Linked DNA regions of Lonchura striata. The protein of the gene in region 1 interacts with the protein of each later gene in a pairwise test. Links are inferred from orthologs where the notes say so. Each region holds a gene or a part of one and is shown in the gene's direction. Other genes may lie near its edges.

Evidence for each region.
Region 2: the proteins of PSTPIP1 (region 1) and UBE2W interact in binary tests that used the Homo sapiens proteins (3 or more experiments, as listed by UniProt). The two-hybrid records come from large-scale screens. The link is inferred for Lonchura striata from reciprocal best matches to the Homo sapiens genes PSTPIP1 and UBE2W.
Region 3: the proteins of PSTPIP1 (region 1) and PTPN12 interact in binary tests that used the Homo sapiens proteins (3 or more experiments, as listed by UniProt). The link is inferred for Lonchura striata from reciprocal best matches to the Homo sapiens genes PSTPIP1 and PTPN12.
Region 4: the proteins of PSTPIP1 (region 1) and TULP3 interact in binary tests that used the Homo sapiens proteins (3 or more experiments, as listed by UniProt). The two-hybrid records come from large-scale screens. The link is inferred for Lonchura striata from reciprocal best matches to the Homo sapiens genes PSTPIP1 and TULP3.

Annotation. Positions count from the first base shown.
Region 1 is NC_134613.1:4,993,000-4,999,848, forward strand, and holds the start of PSTPIP1 (proline-serine-threonine phosphatase-interacting protein 1), read left to right. Parts: upstream 1-3,840; 5' UTR 3,841-3,980; coding exon 3,981-4,013; intron 4,014-6,849. UniProt on the Homo sapiens protein: Involved in regulation of the actin cytoskeleton. May regulate WAS actin-bundling activity. Bridges the interaction between ABL1 and PTPN18 leading to ABL1 dephosphorylation.
Region 2 is NC_134603.1:32,205,241-32,212,744, forward strand, and holds the start of UBE2W (ubiquitin-conjugating enzyme E2 W), read left to right. Parts: upstream 1-4,501; 5' UTR 4,502-4,529; coding exon 4,530-4,544; intron 4,545-7,504. UniProt on the Homo sapiens protein: Accepts ubiquitin from the E1 complex and catalyzes its covalent attachment to other proteins.
Region 3 is NC_134607.1:61,223,774-61,231,730, forward strand, and holds the start of PTPN12 (tyrosine-protein phosphatase non-receptor type 12), read left to right. Parts: upstream 1-4,949; 5' UTR 4,950-5,133; coding exon 5,134-5,232; intron 5,233-7,957. UniProt on the Homo sapiens protein: Dephosphorylates a range of proteins, and thereby regulates cellular signaling cascades. Dephosphorylates cellular tyrosine kinases, such as ERBB2 and PTK2B/PYK2, and thereby regulates signaling via ERBB2 and PTK2B/PYK2.
Region 4 is NC_134604.1:31,058,215-31,065,650, reverse strand, and holds the start of TULP3 (tubby-related protein 3), read left to right. Parts: upstream 1-4,432; 5' UTR 4,433-4,465; coding exon 4,466-4,506; intron 4,507-7,436. Other genes in the region: RHNO1 (RAD9, HUS1, RAD1-interacting nuclear orphan protein 1), read left to right, coding at 1,073-1,240, 3,419-4,069. UniProt on the Homo sapiens protein: Negative regulator of the Shh signaling transduction pathway: recruited to primary cilia via association with the IFT complex A (IFT-A) and is required for recruitment of G protein-coupled receptor GPR161 to cilia, a promoter of PKA-dependent basal repression machinery in Shh signaling.

The DNA of each region.
Region 1 (6,849 bases):
CTTGCACTGTGAGGCTGCTTTTGGAAGGCTGTTCGAGCAGTTCCCTCTAACAGGAGCAGAGGGAGCTGAGTTTCAGGGCTGAGCAGAGCCTGGTGTGCAGTCTGGGCCGTGCTGAAGCAGCCTCTAGCTGCAGCCACAATGGTCCAGAGCAGCTGGAACAAACCAAGCCAGGTGTTCAGAGGCTGCAGTTTCAGTTTCCATGGGAACACAGACTGGCTCCTCACAGAAGGCAAGGTGATTTCAACATTTTTAATGGGTATGATTTGGGATAATTTGCAAGCCCCTGACATTTCCTACATGGAAATGCAGAGATCCATTCATATGGAATTAGAACAGTGGGCAGAGCTCAGCTGCTGAATCATGTCTGTTTTAGCCATGGTTTTGCTCTGGCAGTGGTTTCCTTGCTGCTCTGTCCCCAGGCTGTGGGGCTCAGTTGGACACCAGGAGCTGTTGGAGTTTGGACATGGCTGCACTGCAGCCGTTGTTTGAAGCTGTGTCTCAGATGTAACGATTCTGGAGGCTGGGAAGGACTGCACCAGTGCCTTCCAGTCTCCACTGGCATTTGCCAAACTACCATTCTAAGGGATCACAATATGCCTGAGGACTTCTGAACAGTACAACCAGCTCAACGTTGGGATTATCTGAGTATTCAGCATTTCTTTGTCTTCTGCCTTAATACTTTCCATGGACTCCCTCATACTCTCGCTATGTAGAATAAAAGGTTTACTGTCTTCTTAATCAAAAACATTTCCTCTGAAGAATGTCTTGCTTGGTGTCGTGGATGAGCACAAAAATGTTTGTAGATGCTATTTTTGTATTTTGCCTACTGTCAAATCCAAACTTGCCACCCAAATCCCTGATAAAAAGCTTTGCTTGAAGTAGTATATAGTTAAAAATTAAATGAAACTTCCATTCTAAAGAATGAGAAAATTTGAGGGCTTTCAAAACAGTGTTTTTTTTAAAAAGTCAAGACTTATCCTTCTTACTACAGAATGGATTCAAATGGTACATTCTGCTGCCAAACAATTTAATTACTGGGGGAAAACCCTCAGGAAGTGTGTTCTTGGCGTTACCAAACAGAATGGCTGATTTTACACCTCTAAGAGCAGTGATGGAAGGAGATGCAGCGGCTGTCAGGGAAGAGTTCCACTTAAGGCTCCTTGTTGATACTGCTGGATTTCTGAGAGAACCTGTCAGGTCAGGCTGAAATCCCTTTAATGCTGGAGACAGGAACGTGACAAAACACACCAAGGCTGATGACACAGCAAGGCAGCTTGGGTCAGGTGCAGCTCTCCCGTGTGGCTCTGATGATCTGTGTGGTTAACCCTGATGGGCCAATAGCTGCTCGTGTCCTCGCCGGCCTAGGCCTGCTCCCCAGTGGTCTGCACCAGCCCAGTTCCATAATTAAGGTCATTAGTTGTGTTTTGGTTATCAGATTGGGATTATGGATAACTGAGGCCTTTGGGCCAGCTGTTAGCCACCACAGCCTTGATATCCTGTTCCTGTGTAGAGCAGAGGGGATACAGAATTGTGTCCCCCTTCTAAAGCCCTGCAAAGCCCTGCACGGCACAGTGCCTCATGGATATAACCCAGTGCCACTGGGACCTGGGGGCAGAGACCCAAATTGACCCAAATCTGCTTCATCACAGCTGGGCTTGGTCTCACACCAGCTACTCTGGCAGCTCATCCAAGTTCCCGAACTGGAGAGCTGCTCTGGGCTGTTCTGAGGAGCTCACCCACAGCAGAGTGCTGATGGCGTTGAAGCGTGAGAGCTGCTGGGAGGTGACTGTGCTACACCAGAGCTCTTGGGTGGGATGGATGCAGGAATAGAGCCCAGCCTGAGGTTCAGTCAAATAATAGGCTTTGTGGCTGGAAACCAAACTAAAAATAACAAGAAAATAGCATAACATTTTAGAGGGCTAAAACACACTTGGTCCATTTTTATGAACCCCAACAGCAGCAAAGATGGTTTCAAAACACAGCTGTAACTTGGAAATAGTAACAGGAAACATTTAGGTTTGGAAGGACTGAGATAAAACACTTCAAAAAAGATCATTTTCTTTTTGGATACAGATCAAGTATGACTAGTGTCCATGCCCTCAAAATACATTTTTTCAAGGAATTTTCCCTTCTGGAAGAAAGTTTCACTCCTTTCTCCTCAACATTGTCTGCAAGTGAATCCTTGCATTTCTCCTCCCACTCTCATGCAATGATGCTTTCTTCCTGCTACATCTCTGACCTTCCAGACTCTCGTCTGCTCTCCTCTGCTTGCACTTCATTTTCTCTCACAGAGTCCCTGCATATTCCTGTCTTCTTCATACCACCAGGAAGGAACCTGGCAAATTCTTTTAAACACCAGCTACAAATTGACCACAGAGTGAGTAGGGGTAACTGCAGCCCCCAGCTGCTGCAGAGCTCTCTGAGCAGAGCCCCGAGTCCTGCTGGAGCACAGGGAAGTTGCAAGACTTCCCCACCCCGGAATGATCTGCCCGGGGGCTGCTGCTGGAGGGCAGCAGGACAACAGTACCCAGAGCAGTGTCAGACAGGCAGTTGGAAACCAGTAAGTCCTGATGTGTTGTTGGTGTGCACAGACAGCTTTCACAGAGGCAACCACCACAGGACTACTTTCCTTTTTCCTCTCCTCTCCTCTCCTCTCCTCTCCTCTCCTCTCCTCTCCTCTCCTCTCCTCTCCTCTCCTCTCCTCTCCTCTCCTCTCCTCTCCTCTCCTCTCCTCTCCTCTCCTCTCCTCTCCTCTCCTCTCCTCTCCTCTCCTCTCCTCTCCTCTCCTCTCCTCTCCTCTCCTCTCCTCCCCTCCCCTCCCCTCCCCTCCCCTCCCCTCCCCTCCCCTCCCCTCCCCTCTCTCCCCAAAAATGCAAGTGAATTTTTAAAACTAGGTATTTAAGAATGCTTAAAACATCCTAAAAAGGTGAACAGAGGCAACCTCACCTGGAGGACAGGTGCTTTGGAGAGGGTTTCAGGAAAGCTTTAGAAGTGTTACTCTGTGCTCAGGTATTTGCAGCTGTGTTATAACAACTGGAGGAGCTGATTTGGGGAGCTGCCTGAAATACTTGGTGTCAGCAGTGTGCTGCTGAGTGCTGCTGCTTCACTGGTCTGTGAGGGTTCACTCAGGTCCTGGTGCTAACAGATTCTTAGCTCTTCTTTTTGAGGACTTTGGATTTTACTTCTAAATTTCACATGCCTTACATATTCATATAAACATTTATGTGAGGGCATGCAAATCAGGCGTGTTCTCTACATCAACATCCAGGTATCTAAATGTGTGCAGACACCTGCACACTTCTCAGGCTTCTTAATTTAACCTGAGTCCTGAAAAGCCTTTCCAGATGCAAAATGCAGCTTTGAGCTAAGTTTCCTGTGTGCAAAGGCGTGGGCCTCTGCCAGTCCCAGAAGGTGCTGCAGAAATGGGGCACTTATGTTTCTTTAGCTTCTTTTTCTTTGCAAGACCACAGCAATAGAGAATAGCTTGTCTCTATGTATTGTGGTGGTTTCTTTTGCACTGTAATTGTTTTCTCTCTTCCTTCAGCTGATCAAATCATATCACTGAACTTAGTGCCTTTTTTTTTCCCCCTCTATTTTTTTCCTGTCCGCTCACACACACCCATGGCAAGGAGCAGCCTGACACCATTTGACATCTCTTTGCTTCCTCATTTCAATATTAACTGTTTACCAGAAGAGAAACAGGTTTGGGGTGCGGGTGCTGAGCACTTGCCTGTCTCTGTTTGTGAGCAACAGCTCTTTTGCCCTCTGTCCCTCACAGCCACAGGTCATTTCTCTGAGCTGCCTGGAACAGCCCCATGCTATTGGCACCAGCCTGACTTCAGGAGGGACAGGTCTGTGGATGTGCTGCACTCTCTGCTTGGGCTGGGGTGCAGTGACAAGGCTCAGAGCTGTGCCTGCTGCTGCTCTCACTCCACAACGGACTAGCTGAAGCATTCCTACCCCTCTGCAGAGCAATAATAATGGCCCAGCTGCAGTTTAAAGATGCTTTTTGGGTAAGTGAGCATTTACTATGTGTTTCCTATATTCAATGTACCTGTGTTTTAAAATCTTTTAAAATACAGCTTGGTTCTGTATATAGTTTAAAACTAATTTAATGTTGTTCTGTGTTCTCAATTTAATTTAGTGAAAATCCAAATTTGTCTCCAGCAAAAACATAGTGTTTGGTAATGTAAGTGTTTGATCCTGGGCAGAAGGATGCAGTGTAAAGAATATATCCAGTCTCCATGAAACCACTGACATTCCCAGATCCTGTACTAGGGCCAGAAACCTCTTTTGAAAGGGACATGGATTTGTCTGTGTCACAGTGGTAAGAACCTGCTTGCAGTGAGTGTCCTTAGCTCTGTGAGTGGCTCCCAGAGCAGGTGAGCTGTTGCTAATTATAGGCTGAATTCCCTCCTGTCTGGGGAAGAGCAGAGCCAGCAGCTGTGAGCAAAATGCTCCTGCTCAGCTCTCTCCAGGCTCCCTCCCTGCTGCCAGGAGCATTCCCAGGCATGCAGAGCCCAGGAGCTGTGAGGCAGCACAGGTTAGAAAGGACCAGCAGTGCCACTCCCCAGCTAAGCCCAAACTCACAGCTGAGTTTAGTATTTGCTAAAACTAGCAAATACTGAAATGAGGAGATTCGCTCCATACTTGTTATTTGACTTTTGTTTGAAAATCCTTTTGGTCTCCTGTTTTCAAGCTCTTTCTCTGCAGTTACAAGGTAAAAGGACCTTAGTAATTTCTCTATGATAATCTGAGGTTCTCTTGCAATTGGAGAATGAAAGTTCAAAATCAAAATTCTAACATTGCAAAGTTAAGTAAACAGGATGTAATGTGGTTGCCTCTTTTCTGGGCAATCATTTATCCAGCATTGAGCACTGACTTAAAGAAAGACATGAAACTATATGAATTCTTCCTGCCATTGCCTGGCTGTTCTTTCTCCTTGTGGTCTCTTTCTCTCCACCCACGCTTCAGGGTAAACCCTCTCTTGGTAGAAAACAGAGAGCAGAGACAAAAACACATTTCAGTGAACCACCATCCTCCAGGCACTTCCAAGAAGCCCTCCCCACCCCCACTGCAGTACTAGATTTGAACAGTTAAAAAGAATAAAAATACAATGAGGAAATATGAAAGTCGGTGTTGATGTTAGGACTGACTGTGCATGACCACACCTATGTGAGATTCTCCTCCTTTGTGCACACACTGACTGCACAGTGCAGTGCACAGGGTGGGACACAACTGTGGGCCAGTGCTACCCTGGGAGCTTCAGCCTGTGCATTGCTGAACTTCCTTGGAAAACAAGCCACCTGACTTCTACAGCTGGTACATTTGGTATAGTTACTTTTCAATGCCTTGGTCTTTAGGGAAAATAAAGCTATGGGGGTAGTGTGAGGGTGATTAATGCCAGCTGATGATCTGGCCAGGCTGGTTCTTCATGGCTTTTCTTCCCTAAGCTTCTCTTCTGTGCTTAGTCACATTGCCATGACTCAAACCCTTGTTTAGCTTTGAAGCTAACACCTTATTTAAAGGAAAGCATCTCTGGATTTCTTTTTTTTTTTGGCTGGATGTATTGCCCAGCTTGATTAAGAGGGCAGGAATGTATCTGGTTGCAGGATAGAAGCTTTAGCTGTTACAGTAAGTCTTTAAAAGTGAAAACTTACAGGATATTGCACAACACAGCACAAGTGTGCAGCATGCCCCCCAGATCACAAGATCAGCAAATATTTTTGCATTCATAAGGTTCTGTTGTGAGAGGAAAATGTATTCATGTGGTTTGCTTCAGCGAGCACTTATCTCCTGTATTTGGTCTGTGCACTGAACAGAAACTGCCTTTCTGATTGACACCCAAAAGGTGTTTGCCCCATGGTGGGTGCCTCAACACAGAGCCCTGATCTCTGATTGCTGCGCCCACTCCCTGTGTTCCGTGTCCCTGAACAACAGCTTCCTGCTCCACCATCAGGAAACTTTTGGATAAGCAGGGGTTTCCTCAGAACCTACCTCAATGTAGAGATCTCCCTCAGCTAGCAGAGAAAGAGCACCATTCATCCCTCCCCAAAGTTCTCCAGACTTCATAGAACAGGATGTGCTGTCTTCCAGGAAAATTGTTCCTCATAACAGGTTTAAGTTTTATCCTCTCTTTCCCAATAAATGTAGCAGTGATAGTACCATACTACTTTGTTCAATTTTATTCCACACTTAGTTCAATTTTATTTTCTTTGTAGCATGGCCTGAGCAAAAACCTGTGTATTTTTTAATTACAGTTTTTATTTATATGTACTCCACATTCTCTGTAATGGTTTAAGGGACAGTTGCTCAAAGTCTGCACTAAAATGTGCTTCTTAGCAGAAGTTCTCTATCCTCTGATAATATTTTTTGGGAAATGTTAGTGAGATAGAAATTCAGATCGAGTTTGATAGCCAGTGCAAGGCAGTTGCTGATGGATTAATATTCTGCTGGGCTGCTGTATGAGCCTGACAGATGTTACCTGTCTTCTCTAGCATCATATAAGACAGGTAGGGAAATTCCTATGTTAATGGGGGAGTGTCTGTGTGGCATCAGCCGAGTTCCATGTTAATGGAGTTGTGTTAACAGGCAGAGCAACAGTAATTGTTTTGTTATGAAAAACACTATCCAAGAAAATCTTTTCCCCTCAGTCACGGAGTGTCTTTCTGAGATTCATTCTCTGTTCTTGCACTCATTGTTGCTTTTCCTTAGTAATTTCTGTCATTGCCTTTTCCTTCTATTTAGTTTCCCTCCAGCCTGCTGCTCAAAACTGCAGCTGCAGCCCCTGGAATGCAGGTATTTCTGGCCAAGAGATAGGAAGGTACTGGCACCACTTCCTGGCTTTGC
Region 2 (7,504 bases), on another chromosome or scaffold:
GCCTGTTACTATTGAGAACTAAGATGAAAATTAAATACACTATTGATGAAAAACCTACGTAATCACTAAGGAATAAATCAACAATAAAATCTCAACAGCTAAAAGTTCTCTTGCATTTGAATTTAGTTTTAATAAGCTATTCTAATTTTTAGCTATGTGTGCAATGTATTACTTTTATATTCTTGATATAATATTCTATTGATTTGATTCTGCATCTTTAGTTGAAGGTATCTGCAGGTGCACCAAGCTTGTTTATACAAAGATCTTAATTCCACAGAGTTTTTAAACTCAGTGCCCTTCCTAAATTGGCAGGTAGGAGTAGAAGAAGCAGTTGGCACAATTCCCCTGAGGGGCAGGGAGTTCTCCATGCTCAGGAGATGCAGTCTCCTGGCACTGCAGATTACAAGTGTCATGCCACTCAAGTAATGAGGGGAGTTAACATCAATGTACAGTTTACTTCTGTGTAAGGAGACAAGATGAAAAGCTAAAAAGTACAGTGGACACAGGCAAAAGAAATTGATCTCTCGTGTCATTTTAGAACCAGGACTCATAAAGGAGATGGTAGTGACAGTTCAGTGTGTAGAAAAATTATACAGAAAAAATAAAAAGGGTGAGAACAGAGGGAAAAATGTTTGGTGATATTTGAAAACATTATGGACAACATGGGAATAGAATGTAAAATTACAGGGACCCTAATTAAGAATTATATTTTACTTCTTTGAAACTGTCTTGGTATATCAGAAAATTATCTAATAAATGCAGTTTGAACATTAGTTGCATTTTTCCTGTAAGTATAGGGTTTTGGAAACTTTGAAGAAAAATGGATTTTTAGGTCAACTTCAATAATATTTACCAAAAAAAAAATTAGTAGGAGGTACAATTTCATTATTTGCTCCATATGTTTTTGATATGTGAGTCATAATGTATTTGATCAGATCAGTGTAAGATAGCCTCTGAAATAATTAAGATAACAGATTAAATTTCTCTTACCCCATAAGCTTTGAATATTTGGGACCCAGAGCTCTGATCCTTGAAATCTCTGGCAAAACTTGGGTTGACTGGTGAAAGATCAGACTGCATTAGCTAAATACTAAAGCAATCCTTTTAAGAAACCAGTTATTGTGCTTTCCATCTCTATACCTGCAACAGATTAGGAAGGGTTAACTACAGAAATGTTTTCTTCTATGTTTTGCATAGGTAAAGGTCAAAACTGAAATGAAAACCAAATTACAATAACTTACTCCTAGTGAAATCTACCCTCTCTGGGAATTAGGGCCTTTCCTTAGTGGGATTACAGGATAATTTAAGATACTAATATTCATATATTCTTTCTGGGAGTCTGATAATAGTGTTTCTTTTCTTACTGTGCTTAGGGGACTGATTCCTTAATCCCTATAGCATTATGCATTGTACAAAAACATCTCTGCAAGCAAGGTTACCAGGAAATGAGGAAAGGGGGAAAACCCAATAAAACACAGGGATAATTCTCCAGATTCCCCTATTCCCACAACAACAAGGAGCTAAAAAAATATTTCACATATATATTAGGCATTTAATGACACTTTAAAAAAAAACAAGATGTGACAATGGTTATAAAAGACACCTTTGGTAGTCCTGTAAGAATAAACTCAAAGTGTATTTGGGGATGTGGGATTCTGCCCACGAGTTTCAACTGCAGCATAATGCTTTAATTACTTACATACTCACTTAAAATTGAGTAGGTAGTAATTAACTCATGCTCTATTTATATGCAGGGCAAACTAGCCCTTGCTTTTCATGCCTAGTATCCTCAGGAACAGGATCTGCAGCATAGATTAAGTAATCTCAGTAAAGAATACTTCAGTAAAAAACTTAGTAAGTAGCTTGTTTTTAATATTGAAAAGCTCTGATAGATAAAAAAGACTTATTGAGCATAAGGGCAGTTAAAAGCTGTGATTTACATTTTTTTTTTTTTTGCAAAGATGGCTTTTTATCCAGAGATACTTTTCCTTTATTACAGAGTAGAAATCATATTTGTACTGAATACAGTTTGCCTAAGACCACAAAGCTGATCTTTCCATGCAAAACCAGCTTGCAGTCTGTTAAGTGTTCTGGCATTCACAAGCTTATGCTGCTTTATATCTTCTGACCTTCAACAGGGTTTTCTGGAAGAGGCGTAAGAAACTGAGTATAATGGTTTGAAATCAGTTGTATCTTGCTGTGAGTACATCAAAACAGATAGTCAATATGTCCATGTTTATAACTGAACACATGTCCATTGCTTAAACTTGATGTTCTTGCTGTCTTTGTGGCATATGGCATTAAGAGATGTATTTTAGGATAAACATATGTTTCCATCATGCAAAACAACAACTAGTAACTGTTCCACTTAAGTGCTGTAACAGCCTAAGTTCATTCTGAAGAACTGCAGGAAAGAGAAGCCTTTACCAGCTCTATGTGTCTGCTTAATGCAACAAATCCTCTGCAACCTAAATGGTCTTGCAAAAATCATATAGTAATACATACTGACTTCCAGGGAAAACATGGCTGAGCAATGTCAGGTTGCATAGCATCAGGAGCCCATAATTTATAAATGAGAATTGGATTTGGAAGACAAGACAATGTATAGGATGCAATTTACATGACTATACTTTTCCCATCATTACTTTTGGTAGCCTAATTTCCTTTCCTACTCAAAAATCAACAAATAATGATTTGGTCTTCAGCATAATCTTGCAAAGCCATGGGGCTTGTTCACTTCTGCAGCTATCTCACAGGGTAAAGATACTCCTGCTGTCTTCTTCTGCTTAAAGGGTTCTGCCTTTTAAGCAAACCCCAAAGTTTGTATGCTTACTTTAACAGCGATGACAGTGTTGATACTGGATAAAAGTTGGAAACTGATGCTAAGTTGTGCTGGGGTTTTGTTTTTCCTCCAGTTACCCATTTTCAAAGTTAAGGATATTAAAAACTTACCAGAAGGTAAAGCTTGTACGTAAAGGTAGTACTTGCATCACACTAAATAATATGGTTGAACAAGGCAGACTGGCTTTTGGGTGCAGAACCCTTCTAGAGGTCTAAAATTAACGAAGATTTCAAAGGTAGTACAAACTGCAAACAATTGTTCAATAATTTGGTTTTTGCTTCTCAGTCCATCTCTGAAGAAAAAATCAGGGCTACCACTGGAGCAGAGGTGACCCAAGAATTTTTTAACATTGTCAGAAAAGGAGAGGGGTGAAGGGGCAGAGGAAGGGGCTTCAGTGTTTTTGGAATGTGCAGCATGAGCAGTGGGGAGACGGGGATTATAATGACCTCTAAAATCAGTTTCTCTATTAAATCCTTAGTTTTACATAACCACTGGGATTATAAATTTTATAGGTTGTTTTTGGATAAACATTTTGTAGGTTTATCTTGAGGATCTGTTAGGTCTGAAATACTCCAGCAGGAATAACAGCTTTACGAAGCGTGTTTCCACAAGTTGTTTAATTTATTGATTGCACACAGTCACTCTACTGAGTGCTGCCTGTTTATTTTCACCTACACAGGTACGGCAAAATCACCTGGTGCAAAGGACAGGGATTATTCCAGTCCAGGAAATGAAAACGTAGAACCCAGGAACGCTCCGACCTAAAGCACACCCACGTTCATTTGGAGTCATACACGAGCAGACAGCAGTGCAGGAGAGCCAGATGAGCTGTGGCACAGCAGCACCAGGGAGCGCACAGAAGGAGCGCGGCGCCGGCCCGGGGCGACCTGCGGCGGGGTCCAGTGACAGGACATGGAGTAATGGCACACACTGAAGGAAGAGGGATTTGGGTTAGGTATCGGGAGGAAATTCTTTACTGTGAGGGTGGTGAGGCACTGGAAGAAGAGGCTCGTGGATGCCCCATCCCGGGCAGCGTTCGAAGCCAGGCTGGAAGGGCTCTGAGCAGCCTGGCCTGGTGGGAGGTGTCCCTGCCTATGGCGGGGGTGTCGGATCTAGATGATCTTCTAAGTCCCTCCCCGCTCCTTAACATTCTATGGTCCTACGATTGTATGGCACTCGCACCAGGGAAAGCCCGGAGAAACCCACACGACGGGCGGGCGCAGTCCGAATTTAACCGAGTGACTTAAACACTGCACGTGGACCTCTAAAAACCTTCACAAACTGAAGCGGGCTGGGGATCAACCCCTTCCCGCCCCGCGGGTGGCGGTGATGGGCATCGCGCCGCTCCCGCAGGGCGAGCAGGGCACGGGCAGCGCCGGGGCAGCCTCCCCGGCGGCGGGACCGGCAGCTCGCAAACAAACACCGCCCGCCCGCGCCGCTCCCGCTCCTCGGGGCCGCCCGCGCCGCCCGCGCCCCTCCCGCTCCTCGGGGCCGCCCGCGCCCCGCCCGCGCCGCCCGCGCCGCCCGCGCCCCGCCCGCGCCCCGCCCGCGCCCCGCCCGCGCCCCGCCCGCGCCCCGCGCACGCGCGGCTGCCCAACGGGCGGGCACGGGCACGTGACCGGGGAGCGCGCGGGGCGGGGCCGGCCCGGCGGCGGCGCGGAGGGGAGGGGGAGGAGGCGGACCCATCATGGCGTCGATGCAGGTGAGGCGGCTGCGGCGGAGCCCGGGGCAGCGCCGGGGCCGGGCGGCGGCGCGGGGAGCCGGGAGCAGCCGTTCCGCCGGGTGTGTGCGTGCGCGGCGCGGCGCGGCGCGGCGCGGAGGGAGGAACCGCCCGGGCAGAGGTTGAGAGCGGCGAGGTCCCGGGCAGCGCGGCCGGGGAGGGCAGGTGGCGGCGGACGGGCCGGGATGGAGGCGAGGCGCGCAGAGGTGTGAGGGGCGAGGCCCGGACTCGGGCGGGGCGGGCGCGGGGGGAGGCAGCGGGCCCGGGGCGCGGGGGAAGAGGCGCCTCAGGGAGGCGTCAGGGGCGATGCCGCCGCTTCCTGGGCAGGCGAGGGAAGGGCGGAGGGATGCCGGCCCCCGGGACTTGGGAGGCCGCGGATTCGCTGGGCGCCGTGGGAACGTATGGCACCGTGCGGGCTGCGCGGTCAGCGGGGCCCTCCCCGTGTCGGCGTGGGACCGTGACCAACAGCCCTGAGCTCCTGCGATTCCCCCGCACGAGGGGGACTGGGACAGGCACGTCCTGCTCCAAGCCGCCTGCTGCCCGTGGGGTTCTCTTTCTCTCCGTAAAATGAGGTTGCGGTGTGGGGTCAGCTCTGGGGACAGGTACCGTCTGGCTTTCTCGGCCGGATGGTATTGCTGTAGGTACAGTAGGATGGAACATCCTGCTGCCTGACAGGTATTTCCAGCTGAATTATTCATTCATACCTACTCCGAAGGGGTTCTTAAACAGGGGCTGCAGAAATTTCTCTGGTAGAATGGATCGCTTTCACTGTGCTGCTTTCAGTGGGTAATGCTTTATTATGACTGGGGCAGGAGAAAAGAGCTCTAGGTTTTGTGGCAGTGGCCCCTTTCTCTCCTTATTTAACCAGTAACTTCTCTACTTTTTCTCGGATATTTATAGTTTTCCATTTTGTTTTTATATTTGAATCATCTAGATCTCATTTTGGTCCAGTACAGCTTACATTTTTTGTCACTAGTAATAGAACAGCATGGAAAGAGTGTATAAAATGAGTGAAATTTGTTTAATTTTCATAATAAGCTGGATTTAGCATAGCCAAAAAGGATTTAAATGTCAAATTATTGAACTGTATGGGATAAAAATTATTCTCCTGAAGTTTAGAAGCATAACTCCCCCTTCCTCCCCCCATTCCTTGGTGTGTCTTTCACAGTTACTGAAATGAAACGAGATCTAGAAATTGAACGTACTGTACAGAATGTTCTTTTAGCAGTAGCTTAGCAGGTAGTCTGATGTGCCTTGGTTTTATTAGCTCTATCTGTCAAATGCATTTTTGCAATGCTCTTCTTCTAATGTACAAACTTTTACAAGCTCAACTGCAAAATAGAGGCTGTAGTTTCTTAAGAAGTGTCCTTTAAAAAACCGTGTGAAAAGTAGGAAAATGGCAGCTGTGAACCGGGAAAGAGGCACGCTGTAAAGGGACTTGGCAGAGCTGTGCTGTGTTGCTGTCTCTGGCCTGGTAAATGACCTTCTACAGCGTGCCTCACCCTAATTCCTGTTGCTCCCTCTGTAAAGGGAGAAAAATGGTTACATATTAAATGAGGTTGTTGAGGATACAGGAATGACAAGTGTTGTCTAAACGTCAGATGTGTGGAGGGTAATACTCACTTCCTGAAATACACCCTGTTAAGTCTGATGTTGTAATTGCATTCATTTTAGAAATACCAGCTGTAAGATGGCACTTTTTGTTTTCTTACGTGATGTTCTGTTGTCTTTTGATAAGAGATTCAAGGACATTTATGGAGATTTTTTGTCTGTATGTTGCTAATTGCATAATGCTCTAATAAATTTCTGATGTTTAGTAATCTGCTAATTTAATAATGTAGTTTAGCATGTTGGAAAGGAGTTGTAAACTGGAAGCATAAATGCAAATTTAGTAAGTGAACTTACTAAATTTAGTAAGTTTATTGTAGACATGCTCCCAGATGACCAAGATTTCAAGACTGAATTCTGTCAATTAACATTTAAGTGTTCAGTGTAAAAAAATGTTTTACAAAGGAAACCAATATCTATAATTTTAAGTGGTTTTTTTTTTTTTTGGTCCAGAATCATTTATTATAATTACTGCTGTGTACTAAGTTACTTGACACAACAAAAAGATGTCATATTTCTGATTAAGTATAGTGTTTTTAAATACACAGTGTTTACCTGAAACGTTTGTGAAACTCATTGCCATCTCTGGCTCTGCTAGTGGTGTGACACTGTACTATTATGACAATATTATTTATTTTATTGATAAAAATGATACACTGGTGCACAAAGTAAGTTCTAATTGCTTCTTACACTGCTGTAATTTTATACAACAGTGTATGATGCCCCAAGTTAATTACATTTATTTTAACAGATTCACAGAAAAGTCTCAGATTAAGTTACAAGAGTTATCTGATTAGCCTGTTCTTAGTCAGTCTTCAGTGAAGCTTTGAAACTTGTAATAAATTGCCTCTTTGCTGATGGCTCTGAGCAGCAACCTGAACAGTTACTGCAGTTCAGTGGATGCACAGTAATTTGTGACTCTGAGTCTTTGTATGTATCATTAAACTTACAGTGATTTTTATCTGTGTGGACAATCTGTAATGGGAGTTTTCTGTAACCCTTTTTTTCCGTGACAGTAGAAGCCAATGCTTATGAGACCTTGTGTTTTGTTTTCTAACCACAGTGTTGTTGCTAATTTGCCACTGCTGGACTGGTTTAAACCTGGTTTGCATAACTTTAGGCAAATCATATTTTTTCTTAAAAAAAGCTAACACACCTTAGACAAGCCTTTAAAGGAAGAGCACTTATTTTCAAGAATTTTCCCAGAAAAAGCCCAAGCATGTGCTATGTTTTCCTGGATAAAAACACAGAAATATTCTGAAAAGGTACAAGTAATGTAGAACAAGGGAATAGAATGGATTTGCTTTAGAAAATTTTGATATAGCATCTTTAGT
Region 3 (7,957 bases), on another chromosome or scaffold:
GTAGCAAGAACAAAGTTTCTTCTGTGTACAGAAACTGTGTTGGTATTGGGAGGGGGCATATGCTACACTTAGTCAGGATTTCAAAATATGCCCTGATCATGGAACTCAGTAATTCTGGTCTAAAATTCTTATTACCTGCATAAGAAATGTCACATATAAAGGGTTTTAGCAATATCACACAATGAATCCCAGAAGATGGTAAATAAATAAATAAAAATTAAGCAAGCTAGGTAAAATTAAATTGTAGTAGGAGTATTTTCAGTGGTAATTACAGGAGTCTGACATTGCTGAATTTAGAGTAATAGAGGCAAATGTCAAGAAATTCAGCAGTCACATGGCACTTAATGAATATGAATGGAACATATTATACAGACACTGATCAAATCTTTATGACTAATTTAAAATAAGATTAGTTTCAGATTTAAATCAGAAATTCAATTATTTTGTAGTATAGAAAGGATACAGTGTATCTTACTTAGATCTATTGTCCACAATGCCTTTTGTTTCCAAAATTAGAATTTTGAGACTCCGTGGAGGTTGCTGTATTTTAGTTTGTTACTTATAATCTAAGTGGTTAAATTGTAGCTGAAGATCAGCCAGAAAATTTGATACAGTATTTTTATCATCTTCAGAAACAAAAGTGACTAATACTGAAAAGTTTGAGGATAAGAGTATATAAAAAGTATGTGATTCTAATATTCCTGAATGTTTCATTTAACTATTTTCAACCAGCTTGAAACATTTTGACATTCATGGAAAGACACATTGTATTTCAGTTTGTCAGATCAAAGACAAATGTTTCACTTGGACTTAGTTTTTATGTGTACCCTTGAGCTGTTCAACAGCTTCCTGGCATTTATACTCCATGCTCCAGTTCTTTCATGTGCTGAGTCCCTAACCCAAGTTGTGCTGACTTCAATGGTAAAGACATTTCTGCATCTGTAAGTATAACAGTGCATTGTTTTTGTCGGAAAGCAGAAAAACATTGCCAAAATTGTTTCCTGTGGAAAATGTAACTTTTACAGAAACAGCATTTTCCATTGAAACACCACATTTTTAGAAACTTCCAACTAACTGCACTTAAAGTATATTTCAGGAGTGTTATTATGAAATCTATAAATGCTAACATCTATTTTTTATCCTAAATAATTTTGATTTCAAAAACTTTTCAGATACCCAGTATAGATGAAATTAATTAAGCTTTCATGTATAGGATATATTTATCATAATTTAATAATAATTTCAGTATTACATTATTAATTATACAACAACATAAAGTGTTATGGTGAATTATGGTTCTTTTGCATTACTCCAAATAGTGAAAGTTCATGGGTCTGCAGATTATTGCAGCGGGGAGAAGAAACCGGTGACAAAGTGAGCAATCATTGTAATGTAGTCACACAAAATTACAAGAATACACAAGGTCTTGTTTTGCTGGACAAAGGAGGTATTAACACTGCTGGAGGTGATGCCCTTACTCAGAGCTGTAGGGTTCTTGCACCCTTCCCTCCCACCCCAGTTCTTTGATTTCTTTCTGTAACATACTTTTGGCTAGATATGTGCTGGGTTCTGAACACAGCTTCAAGCCACAGAGGCACTGAAGCCAAACAGCTTTGATGTGAGCCTGTGCCCCATCGCAACTTGAGGGAAACCTCTGAAGGTTGGTAAACTGGGATGTGTGGTAGTCCCACCCATTGACTGGGCAGCACCATGGTATGCAGGTCAGGAAGCACATTTACTAATTTACACCATGTTTACCTTGTGGGAACATGAGAAGCCACCTTGGAACAGAAAAAAGTGTCTGTCTTCCTTCCCTGCTGCAGCTGGAGCAGTGCACGGCAAGGCAAAATGAGATTATAGCAGAGAAGCTGTAGGTGATTTACTTGTTTTTCTTCAAGGACCATACTTGTATGGATTGTTAAGACAAAACTAGAATTTTCTTCTACAGATTTGGGTTGAAACTTCCTGTTCTATCTATAGGGTGAGTAATTCATGCTGTGTGTCTGTTTTTCCGCCCTGCTCCTACAGTTACACAAATAGGCACTCATGCACACATGTTGCACTGGTCAGGTGTCTGGGGTTAACCCAGATAGTATGAGCCTCAGATCAAAAGTCTGAGTTAAAATGCTATTTTTGCTGCTGAGGCTTGAGGTGTCTGTTCATAGCACAGACATGAGACAACCTCATGCACCATTTGCAGGGCTGTGGGAGATAAAACTGGTGCTGTTTGGTTTGCAGCTCTCCCAGGTACATGTACACATACACAGGCAGACAATGCCTGGCACAGTTCTCCACACTATTCCTAATTTCTTTGTTTCATATATAACTTTGTTCTGGCTAGTGACACATGCCTAGTTCAGGGGCTTTTTTTGTCTTCTGAGACTGTATAACCTTCTTATCAGTTAAACCAAATGAAAGGCCACAGCTACACTTGCTGGTTTACAACACTTTGTTACAGTTGAGTTGCAGATGGTGAATTAAGCCAGACTAACAACTGGGTCCTTTCCATGTCAGGCAATAACGATACAGATTCATCATGATATTTCTTTTCCTCTTCTGTAACTTGGTTATGTGAATAAATGCAGAAAACCATATAACATTCAAGACTTCATTAATTGGTTGTGTAATCTCAAGTATCACTTTTCTGAAGTTACCTGCCATCTGGCACTGGGAGCAGGTTTGCCAGGACAACTGCTGAACAAACAGCAACCTTCCTAAGCAGATGGAAATCCAGCAAGATGGCACAGAGAAACTATCTGATGATCCAAGACCCAGCTATCCTTGTGGTCTCTGGTCTCTCTCTAATTTCTGTCTTTCCCTTTAATGCTGCTTTTTGGTATTTTAGAAAAGGAGGTTTGGAAAAGGCGGAGAGGAATTAAAACAAGAAAGGCAGATAACCTTGTGGCTCTTTGGGGCCAATTGATTAGCTTATTATGGAAGCTGGTGCAAAGGACATGGAGAGGAGACTGAACATTGACAGTTGATGTGTTTGTGTGGAGTGCTCACTAAAGGCTTCACTAAACTGCAGCACAGAACTGATGCCCTTTCCCAGCTCCTTCATGTGTCCTTATGTCTCTTTTCTCTATATTAGCTGATGAACATCAACAGCTAAAAAACCCAACCCCTTAATAAGATGCTGAAGTCTGCAGCAAGTCTTGTTAAAATGCTAAGCCTGTCAATTTTCCAGCCTACCCTTCTGCCAGAGATGGCTGTGTCTGTAGCAGATGCAGGAGAAGGAAATGTGTGTCCATGCATCAGCAGCTACAGTTCAGGTTCCTATCTCAAAGCTTGCCTCCATCAGGAGGATAGTAAGTTGGTAGGCTGAGGGTGGTAATGTGCTATTGTACTAATTCTGGTGTGGAACTGGTGTTCTTTGGCAGCCTTCTAAAACAGTAGTATCTTACACCAACACAAAAAGACCAAGCTTTTTGTAGGTTTCTTTTGGTAACAAAACCAGATTAATGGAATGATCAGAGAAGAAAACACGCCGATTTTCTATGGAGCTATATTGCAGCTGAGTGAGTTCCCTGAGCCGGTTCGATGTCCTGTCCGACAGGGGCTGTGTTGGTGGGACTGCGAGCGCCGCACGCTCCCGGGGCAGGGAACGGGCGATTGGGCAGGAGTGACTTAGCTGGGTTATACTTCTCAGCTTGGATCTTTATCTGCCTGCGTGACAAGCTTTTACTGGATCAACAGCATCACTCAAGGCCGTGTAGATCTTCATCAATAAAATTACATTTTGAACGACTTCACTTGGCTATATTTATTAAGCTATAAGGCTATACATACACACACCTCTACAATTGCTTTACTTTGCTTAAGCAGAAGTTATAAGTGTCATCAGGACACCAAACATGGTGTTTAACTTTTCCATATAACATTAACAATGAAATAGCACCGTTGCCAAATCCTCCAACACCACGTAAGGCAGAGATTTTAGGGTATGTTTAAAATAGGAAGGCGCGGGGTGTCTGAGCTGCGGTGCCGAGGGGCGCGGGACCCTCTCCCCGCCCGGCACCGGCCCGGAGCCCGCAGACACCTGCCGGCAGCACTTCCATGAATCAGCTTCGCCTGAGGACATTTTTATTAAGTAGATCTCTCTGTCTATCTATCTGCACACACATACATATATATATATATGCACACACACGCCCACACATATATATATATGTACACTTCATAGAGCATACACTTACATATCTATATATATATGAAAAATTAATATAAACACACACATATATATACCCTTAATATACATACATACAAACACGCGAGGAGCGGTCCCTGGCCAGGTGTCGCGCCCGTCCCCTGTCCCGCCCCGCCATCTTCCCGCTGCTCGGCGTCCACCGCCGCCGCGCCTCGCGGCACGGACCCCCGGCACTTCCCACGGCTGCGGGCTTCCCACCCGGGGCGGGACCCGTCTGATCCGGGCGTTTCGGTAGGATGCTGCGTGAGCTCCCAGCTCCGGGACGCGGCGCTGTCGCGACTACATGCCCCGACATGCCGCTGCCTCCCGGCGCGGCGCCGCGGGCACCCACCGCCGCCCATTGTGCCCCGGCCAGGGGAAACCGCGCTCCGCTCAGCCTCCCCCGCGCGCCAAGTGGTCCCTTCCAGCGCTCCATGAGGCGCCCTTCGGGCGATCCCATCCATGGGAAACGGGGGGGGGCCGGGGGAGAGGGCGAGGCGTGGAGCCCAGCGAGCGCTCCCTCGAAGCCCGGCCGGCCAGTGATTGGCGTGCCCTTCCGCCAATAGGGCGAGGCGGCGGTCGGGAGAGCCAATGGGCGCGGAGCGCTGCCGGGTCGGGGCGGGGCAGAGGGGAAAGGGCGGGGCGGGGCGGGCGCCGCGCGTGCGCGGGGCGGGGGGAGGCGGGGCCGTGTCGTGTCCGTGTCGCGGCTCCGGGGAGGGTCGGGCGCAGGGAGGGGAGGATGGAGCGGGCGGCCGGGCGGCCGTGAGCGGGGCGGGAGCGGAGCCAGAGCGGGGCCAGCAGGCCGCGGGCAGGCCCGGGCGCGGGAGAGGCGAGGCAGCGAGGGCAAGGAAGGCAGCCGGGTGACGGGTCGTGCGGCGGAGGGGGCTCCGGGCGGAGAGCGGACGGGCGGCTGGGCTCCCGCTCCGCAGGGCGGTCGGCGGGGCAGGATGAGCCAGGAGGAGATCCTGAGGAAATTCATTAAGCGCGTCCAGGCCATGAAGGACACGGACCACAATGGGGAGGACAACTTCGCCAGCGACTTCATGGTGAGGGGCGGCGGCGCGGGCGGGGCTCTGCCGGCCCCGGGGCGGGGGGTGCCCCGCAGCCCCTTCCCCATCCCCCGCCGGCGAGCGGGTGTCGGGCGGGCGGGCGGCGCATCCCTGGGGCTGAGCTGCTATTGTGTGCCCCGGGGCTCGGCCGGCTCCCGGTGCCCGCCGCCGCTTCCGAGCTCGGCGGGGGAGGGAGAGTGTCCGCCGGGATTCAGCCTCCTTCCTGCCCTCCAGCCCCGGGAGGTTTGTCACCGCGGCCCTTCCCCGCTCCCGGGGAGCCGGTGGTCAGCGGCTCTCGCACAATTAACCGGGGGCTCCTCGTCCGCCCGCCCCGCTGCTTCCCTGAGCACATAAAGGGGACAGAGGCGAGGCGGGGGGGCTGCGAGCGCTTCCTCGCCCTGGCAGCCCCTTTTCTGCAGGGTTGCCGTCTGTGATGTCAGCTGGGAATAATCGGGCACTCCTTCCCTCCTTCCCCTTTTATCTGCTCCTGTAGCTGCCTGCTTGTGATTTCTCTTCTTTCCGAGGAGATGTGTTAAACGTATTGATAGTCCTTGGAGGAATATTCATTTTCCCTTCGCTAACGTCTCCCATCCCCCATCGCAGCCCTGCCTGTATCCCTCGTCCTTTCTTCCTTCCAGATCAGTTCGTCAGCCTTTGCTTAACGTGTGCTCTCGGGGAAAAATTCTGTTGGAGAATTAGTGCTTTTCCTGGTTTATTTTAGCTGTTTAATCGGGCTGTTACAATATCTCGGGAGTTTTATCTTTTGAATTGGTCGTCGGAGCTGTGAACAATAATTTTGATTGGGCAGATGTTGCTGGCACTTTTAAATATAATTTAAATGCTTACTATTAAAATGCAGTTTGACCCACAGAAGAGCTGAAGGAGAGCGGGTTAATGCCTTCCGTATCTGTCTTTGTAGCTCGTTTTATTATGCGTGGCTCTTTGGGGTTAAAAGCACATCGTTAGCCCTTTAAGCTGTCAGTCTGTGCTAGTGGTCTGGGAACAAAAAAAAAAAAAATCTCAATGTCAGTGTCGCATCGGAGATTGTCCGAAATGTGGGGAGGAGGCCGCGGATGTTGCGCAAGGCGGAGGGGCGTTGGGAGCGCTGGCAGGTCCAGGGCTGGAAGAGGAAGTGGACTTTGGGAAGTAACGAGTTCATCCAGGGTGGGGAGGGAGCCCGTGGGAAATCGGCCACGCTCTTTGGGCAGGATTTTGCAAATGCTGAAAGTATGCTGCTGAAACATCTGAGCGTGTGGGAAAGGAAGAGAGAAAAGCGTGAAATGAAGAACGGCATTGGAGCCATAGGACCCTTTTAAATCTTCACGTGAGAGCTTAAGGTTACAGAATTTGACAGAAGCTTTTCATTAAGTCGTAGTTTTAGTAATACAATTGCTATTTAACACGAATTGACATCTTGCCTTGTACTGATGAGCCTGTCTTGTTAATGTAAATTATATATACTTTACAGAAAGGCTGGCCTAGACTGTTGCAAAATGAGGGACGCTTTTAATAATCTTTATGTTAAGTACTTTGTTCTAGATCTCCTAATCCGCCTCTACCATTCCATATCTGACAATTATCCTGATGTTTTAGCTTTGTTGTAGTCAAATGATATATAATAGATATTTTTATCATACTTTCTTTGAAGCAGTGGCACATCTGTATGGAGAAATAGCTTTTGGTTCAATTTCTCTATTTGACAGTGGGTTGTTTTTGTAGCTTTCAACAGTATAGACAGTGAGTTTTCCCATTGCTTTCCTGTAGCTGCAACAAAAGAGAATATGGATAAAAATGGGAAAATAGGATTATAGGAGCTAATTGGCAAGACATTTCAGGAGAAAGATGTATTACCTGAAAGAGTGTTAAATGTTTTGGGGAGAATTGTGTGGAAAATTTATTTTGTCCTTTAACACTTTGTTTTTCAAACTTTCGTATTTGATTTTTGTATCGGAAATTAAAGGAAAACCAGGAAATTAGGATCATTAGTTCTAATATTCACCTTTATGTAATAAAGCACATATAGATTAGTGTGATGACAAGAATCATAATTGCTGATTTTTAAGGTTTTTTTTCACTATGAATGTACTGGAGTATTTTGGGATTTTTAGGGTATGTGTTTTGGTGTGTATTTGGCTGTCCTAATAGAGCCATGCTTATGTCCTCTTTAAAATGATTGAAGAGGAGGAAGGAAAGAGAGGTAAAGGGGATATAAGTTTCAGTATTCTGTTCAGTTAAAGAATGAGTAGGTATTTTTTGAGGGTGAGAAGGGAGGAAGTTGTGTTATCTCATTTAAGTGCATGATGTTCTGTGGCTGTTAAATAGTGGCAGGTTTGTGGAATAGGAATTGCTGTTACTCATCCCTTCATTTCCAAGTCAAAATGGAATCTAAAATATGAATGGAATAGTGGGTGAATGCAAATTAAAACAATTCTTTAGGTCTTTATTGCCTTTGAATGTGTTGAGTAATAGGCTTAGAGAGTTGTATATAGGCCTGGGTGAGTGAACTGAAAGTAGGTGCTGGCTGCCAAGGAGTGCTGGAGAGGTTAGAGAAGCTAGAGGTGTGCACAGGTAGGCTAATAAGCCTGGCTGATTGCTATTGAAAGTCCAGAGTGTAGATGACTAAGACTGCAATTTAATAATGCCATTGACATACCTGGAAACAACTTCCGCTTGGAAGGTGGAAAGTTGATTATTACCCACTCCACCAGTGCCTCCCCCCCTC
Region 4 (7,436 bases), on another chromosome or scaffold:
GGACCTTAGCGCTCTCTACAAGGGCTTGAAAGGAGGCTGTGGCCAGGTGGGGTTTGTAACTTCTGGAGGCATCCTCTGCAGAATGTCTGTCAACTTGTTTCAATGGAAACTGATTTTCTGCTCCTCTCTTTTTGGCATTATCTAAGTTTTTCATACCTTTTTCACTACTAGGTTCCTGCATAGGTAAAACCTACCCTACATGTTCTCTCAAGCACCTCTCAAGCACCTAGTGATGGAACAAGGGGACATCATCCGAAGCTGCACCAGGGGAGGTTTAAGTTGGGCATTAGGAAGAAGTTCTTCACAGGAAAGGTGAAGACAGGCGAATGGGCTAGGGAAGTAGAGTCCCTGTCCCTGAAGATGTAGCACTTGGGCCATGGTTTAGTAGCCATGGTGGTGTTTGGCTATAGGTTGAATTTGATGATTTCAGAGGTCTTCCAACCTAATTGAGTCTGTGTTTTCCAATAGAAAATTAAATACAATGTTACTTCAGTTCAAACTTATTCATTAGGCAAAACAAATCATGCAAGATCTGTAGAATACGGGAGATGTCAACTCTGTTTTGTAAAAAAGAAAAAAACAAACTTAAAATCCCTTGAAATTAAAAACACACAGGTAGTTAGCAACCAGAAAGGGAAAGAGTTCTGATTATCTTAGCCTTACAATATCTTCTTGGCATTACAAACAAGACTGAATTGAAAAAAAGAAAATAAATTTTTTGGCTTTTTTGTTCTTTTCATAGCTGACTTGTTCTTTTCATAGCTGTATCAGTAGGTCAACAGCTTCCCTTCCTGCAGTGCATTTCTAAATCTACCTGAAAATTAACAAAAGGCCCAAGAACCACTATTGGGAAAAAGTCTGCCTCAAGATGTATACACTGTGCTGTTGCATAAATGTTTTGCTTTTGTTAAAAACTGCATCTGAGGTTTCCAAATGAGTCTGTCTTCAAATCCATTTATTTGCTTCTACAGATTTGAGAGCACTTTCGCATCTCCTCAGGGTGCTTCCATCTTTCTTCAATTGGCTCCAACAAGCATCATGAGGTTTCTAAGTAGTTTTACCACACCTTTTGATGCCTCCAAAGAAGAAGTGTACCCACAAGGCCAGGAAGGCAGAGCTGATTTTCCTTGAGAAACCACGGGCAGGACCCATCCATTGTTATGAAGCTCCACTGCATTTGGCTGAGAATCCCAGACGTGTGCCTACAAAACCTGTAGACCTGAACACCTCTGCTGCCTGGGTTGGTACAAATTATCTTTCCTCCTGCGTCCCACACCAACAGTTTTCAAGTTTCTCCTGTTTCTCCTGTCTTAAAAGAAAGTTATCTGTTCTGGATATGGAAAGTTAGTAGCCCAGACCTGAATTCCTTCTATCAGTCTAAAGCATAAATAAGTGCTTGAGTTGCTTGACATTCTAAGAATAAGCACTAAGGTCTTGGTTACTTGAAGACATAAACTGTCTGCAGTGTGTACTGATTAATGAATATTTGTCTTCTAGAAAAATTATTCGCATCAGGAAAACACTGTTTTCCTTAGCAACCAAAACCCCTGCACAAAATAATCATTAGGGGAGTCCTTTCTTATTGGCTTGCTGTTTAAAATAACTGCTGAACTCTAAATGTTCGATGTTAAAGTATTGAGTGTATTGTTTAAATCTGAAACTGCTAAATTTAGAGAACATAGGTTTTTACTTCAGAATCATTTGTTCTAACCTGCTCTCTTTTCCATTTATGTTTTTTGAGTAGTGTCTCTCCATACCAATCTTCTGATAGGTTCATTTTCTTGGGACTGTTTGCCATGTCCTAGAATACTCTTTATATCATGTAATATAAAGCTTTAGTTTTTTTAAGCAAACAGCTGCAGCAAAGACAGACTGTTCCTATACAACAGTAGTCATCACCTAGGGGAGCTCTGTTTAAACATTATTGCTGCTTGACTGCTCTTCACAAAGCAAACTCAGGAAGAGTGGTTTCAAAACTGTATGAAACATTCCTTTGTTCCTGTTGACCTGCAGGTATTTTTGTAATGCCTTAACCTTGAAGTAGAACATCTTCAATTTTTTCCTCTTTAAATTTTTTTTGTATCTGCTTGAGGCAGTTAGCTCTACAGTTTGTGAATCACTAAGTGAAATAACTGCTGTGAATAAGCATTCATTTTGTTTGGAAGAGGTGGAAGCATCCACTCTGGTAGCTCTTTGATTCCTAAAATATTCTAAAATTTGTTTGAAGCTATCAGTACTGAAACTGTTAAATATTTCTCAGTTTGGTAACTGTGATAGGTTTGTAACTTCTGGAGGCATCCTCTGCGGAATGTCTGTCAACTTGTTTCAATGGAAACTGATTTTCTGCTCCTCTCTTTTTGGCATTATCTAAGTTTTTCATACCTTTTTCACTACTAGGTTCCTGCATAGGTAAAACCTACCCTACATGTTCTCTGAAGCCGGAAGCCATATCCTTAAAATCAGGGATTATGTTAAGTATGTGCTAGTATACAATTATTAAAGAATCATTTCTCTTTTCCTGCAAAATGGCTTTGGAGTCAAACAGTTCAGCTGTACATTAGACAATCACCATCCTTAGTTAAATTGCACTCAGTGTTTTGAGGAACTATATTGTAACCTAGGAATGCTGAAGGAGATCTGTAGTTACCATAGCAAGAACTCAGATTGGTGTGCTCTTGGGAAAAGCAAACTGGAATCTGAAACAGAGTCTGACTCTTTTGTTGGTAACCAGGAAGACAAACACTGTAATGAAAGGATTTTCAGGGTTTGAGAATGAGTCCAGAATCATTCACAGAAATACAGACTGTTGAGCTTGGACCATCTCTTCTATAGGAAGCTGATTGTAGAAGTGGATTTTGGGTGATCTGTTACTCCACAATACAGAAATTAACTATGTTTTGAAACAAAGATGTTTGGGGGGAAGATTTTGAACACCCTATTAACATAATCTAAGGGGATTGAGCTAAGCGGGCATTCTTCAATCATTTTGTGTTGCTCTCCCAGTTCAGCCTCTACTTCTTTGGGGGAGGCTGAGGATTTAGTTCTTTGAAGCTATTTGAGTTATGCTAGGTCAGAAAGAAAAAGGATCCATTCTGAACTTTCTTAAATCCTCAGGGGTTACAGGAGTAGACATCATTAGATTTCCTTTAAAACCCAGATCTCAAGCTCTTTGTGAGCTGCCGGAGAACAGCTCACTTTTGCCACCCTAATGACTTTCCAGAGAAAAGTGGCAGAACACGATGCTGAAGTTCAGAGGTTTCTCATGCATAGCAGCTTTGTTAGTGACTCATTTGCTTTGCTGCAGAACAGATTACTCAACGAACACACTGAAAAAAGGTGGGGAATAGAATCAGGTAGGTATTATTTGTCTGGAGGAAAGGGTTGGGTTTTTATCTTATTATTATGTCTTTCCCTTCAGGTATGCCCACAATTTGACACAACTAAGGCGGTGGTGTTGAAAGCACGCCAGAAGAAGCATCGTGGTCCTCAGAAGCCCTATAATCAGGATGCTAACCACAGTTCATTTCATGCAGGAGGAGCTTGCCGAGGAGCTGTAGCCTGCAGATTTCCTCCTTTAACTTTTGAGAATCCAGAAGGACATGCAGTCCCTCTCTTGGATGATCCAAATTGCTTGATAAAGAATGCACAATGCTCTCCCACCCAGCCTAGGAAAGGGACAGCGGCAAATGCCAACATCCAGGTGAAGAGCCCAGAGAACTGTGGAGAGCTTGTTCCCCAGCCTGTGGAGCAAGATGTCCTTAGTCCCTCAGATGCAGAGGCTGTACAGGCTCCTTCCCCAAGGAACGGGAGATGCAGCAGCACTCTATCACCAAGTAGTCATGCCTGGCATCCAGAAGAAGAGCTGCCATTTGGTGTTGATCCGTGCGGGAGAGGGGAGGCGGCAGCAGTACTGGTCACGGATACCCCCGAGCACGAGTACGGAGTAAAGGTCACCTGGAGACGGCGGCCGCACGTCATGAGCTACCTGCGGGAGCAAGGCAAGCTGAGCGCTGCGGACATCCTGGTGAAGGCAAACCTCGAGCTCTCGAGGAGACAGGCCCACAGCTGACCCGGCGGGAGCTGCGTGCGAGGACACGCCCGAACAGATGGTGTCCCTTAGGGCGCTGAAGAGGGACGCGATTTCAGCCGGGCCGCGGGGGCGGCTCTTGGCGACGGGGGAGGGGGTGGGGGGTATGCGGGGCGGTCTCTCCTGGGGCAGTGTGTGGCAAGGGCTCTGTGTCCCGCGGCTCCCGCCGGGGCTGCTCCCCGCTCCCCGCTGCCGGCGGGGGCGGCTCCCGCGGCGGGCGACGGGGGCGGCCGTTGCGCCCCGCCGCGCGTGCGCGGCGCCGCGGCCAATCGGCGGGCGGCGTGCTCGCGGCCCCGGCCAATGGCGGCGCGCCTCAGTGCCGCGCGGCGTTGCTAAGGACAGCGGCGGGCGGGGGCCCATAGCAACGGCGGGGCCGCGATGGACGCAGCGGGGGGACCCGGCGGGCCCGCCGCCCACAGGTGAGCGGGGCCGGCGGCGGCGGCGGCGTGCCCGGGCCCAGCGGGGCTGGGCGGGGGCTGCCTCGCGTGGCAGCAGCGCCCGGCGCCGGGATGAGCGGCCGCAGCGGGGCCCGGGCGGGCGGAGCCGCGCGGCGGCGGCCACGCGGATCGGCGCTGCCCCGGTAACATCCGCGTCCCGCCGGCGGGCGACAGCCGTGCCGCTGCTTTATGGGCGGGTGTGTTTTATGTGTTGGTGTGCATCGTCCGAATACTTGTAGATTAAAGCGGTTTTATGGTGTCTCGGTCCCCTCCTGGTTTCTGGGTGCCGCTGTGAAGCGTTTTCGCGGTGTTATTCAGCCCCTCTGCTCCTCCTCGTGAGCCTCTCTGGGTATTTAGTGTCACTCTCGGTGGGCCTTTGCAAGAACAAAAGGAGGAATGAACTCTGAAATGAACTCAACTGATGTAATAGGAAAAACAGCTGTGAACTATGGAGAAGCGGTTTTGGAAAGACTTTATGCTTCTGGCACTTAAGTAGCTCAAAATCGAAATTATCCGAAATTAAATTTGAGTGTACTGGCAGGCAGAGGAAACAGGTTTTGGCAGAATTGGTGTGACTACAAAAAAACCCAGGAAAATCTATTTTTGTGCCTCTATTTGGATAGGAAGAAGTAAAGCAAGTAAAGGGAGAAACCTAATTTTTGGGTAGGGAAACGATAATGAGCACAGTGTAGAAGAGAAACCATACTTTTTTTATTGCATACATTGTTACATGTGGTAATTTAAGGAGAATGAAAAACAACAGTAAGAGTTAGAAATGGTCCTGTAATTGCTTGGATCCACCAAATATGCTATGGAACATCAGTTTACTTCTTTATGCAGACTTGAAAGGCCTCGGTTTGACTCGCAGTTCTGAAAACAATTTTTAAGGAAATTATGTCCAGATATGTGTAAATTTCCCCGCACAGTAAACCTTTAAGCTTGACAGAGTTGACACTACAGGAAGTAATGCTGCTCTTCTGATAACAGTTCTACTGGCATAATTTCTTTCTGCTGAGAAACTTGTCTCATGTGCTTTTATGGGTGTCCCCCAGAAACAGGCTAAAAATAATGGCAATTCATGGGATTGCTGCTTCCCTCCCATCCCAGTTTATTAAAGAAACAAACATTTCTTTAGCTTTCTCGGTCCCCATGGTTAAGGTAAGAAAACTAGAATACATGAACCTAAAGAAAAGTACATAGTTTTAAAATAGATCTGTAAGGCTTGTTGTTTTTAGAGGGGTTTGTTTTTCTGGAGTGTTCATCAGCATTGTAATAAATTGGAGGAAGACAAATGTCTGTATTCTTAGGAAGGTTCTTCTTTTTCTGAGACAAAAATAGTAAAATTATCCAGAAGTCACAAATCTGGTTACTAGAACTCTTATTTGGTAAAATAATTGTCAGTTGTCCGAACAGTGGATTTTATAGAAAAGGTTAATGTGATAGATAATAACTGGCACTTCATGGCAATGAAGATCCTACAGGTAAAGCTTAACAAAGCTGTACCTGAGAACTGGTGGGCTGCAGGTTTTTTTGACCATTTTTCCCCCTAGGGGTGAAATGCCTTTACTATTGAGCAATGTGAAAAATACACATAAAGATATTGGAAGTCTTTTATTTCTGAGGGACAGAGTCGAATATTACCAGTAAAAAATTAATGCATATTGTTTTGTAAGTGTGCTGTGGGATACACGATGATGGATAGACAGAAGAGATCTTGGATTTAGGCCATCTACAGGCTCTCACTTGCAAATACTGTGTTGTGTTAGACTTCCTTTGACTGGAACTGGCTGCAACTGAAATTGCTCAACTTCATTTTAAAATTTGGCTTCAGGTAGACATGGCACAACTGTCTTAATGCTTTAGAAAATGATAAGCTTGATATTGCTGTTTCATGGTTTTGGTGAGTGCTAGACCTTCTCTCTTATTTGGGAAAGTCTATTTGGAGACTTACCATGAAATTATTAGTGTAGAAACATTCAGGTAAAAATAATTCTAATGTAAGCTTTTAAAATATTGTGAAGGAAATTTGTTTCTTATGGAAGTATGTATTTTAGAATCTCTGAGACCAATGGACTTTGCACTTTTGTACACTAATCACACAGTGTACAAGGCTTACAGCTTCCCACATGCTGCATTCCAAATATGCTTCAGCTTCGGACTTGCAGATGTCATTTAAGAGGAACAGAATGTTCAAGGGGCAAAAATCTTGACTGAGTCTATGGAGACTACAAAACTGGGCATCAATTACAGCGGTCCTGCCCTCATTTGGATGCTTCCTTGGGGTCCAGACATGCATCAGTTAGTGGCTTTCTGTTTGTGAACTCTGGAACTCTGGGATTTTTGCTCAGTGTCTCCCAAAGTTAATGAAGAAAAACAGCCTGTTGCCAATAAGCTCAATTTTCAAAATATTAAGAGCCTACGGATTAAGAGAAGTTGAAATCTTCAAAAGTGGACTGTTGTCTGGCCAGAAGCCCTTTCCACATTTTAGTAACTTGAGTGTAGTTGAAGTTGTCAGGAATGTGTGTGCCTGCTGGGCTTTGAGTATTTTATATAAATGTATAAAATCATAATTAGGATTTTGAGGAGAAAAAAGACAAAATACTTTGCTAATTATTTTAGCTATACTTGTAAACCAGAGAAGACAGATAAGTTTAAAATTCCTTTTAAAAGCATCTCAGCGTCTCTATTAGTCCTTGGGTATTTTTATTTAGCCACCAGTGATCTTAAAATTAACAAGCAATGTTTGTCAAATTCCAGGACTTACAATTCTGCAGATCTTATCCTTAGATGATTGAGAATTGGCTTAAAATTCTGTGTTCTTCACCCTTTTCAGCTCTAAACATTATAATGAAGAAATCTGTTCAAAGTGAGATAAACCTGTAAATATTTTATAAGTGTGGTTGATATGTACC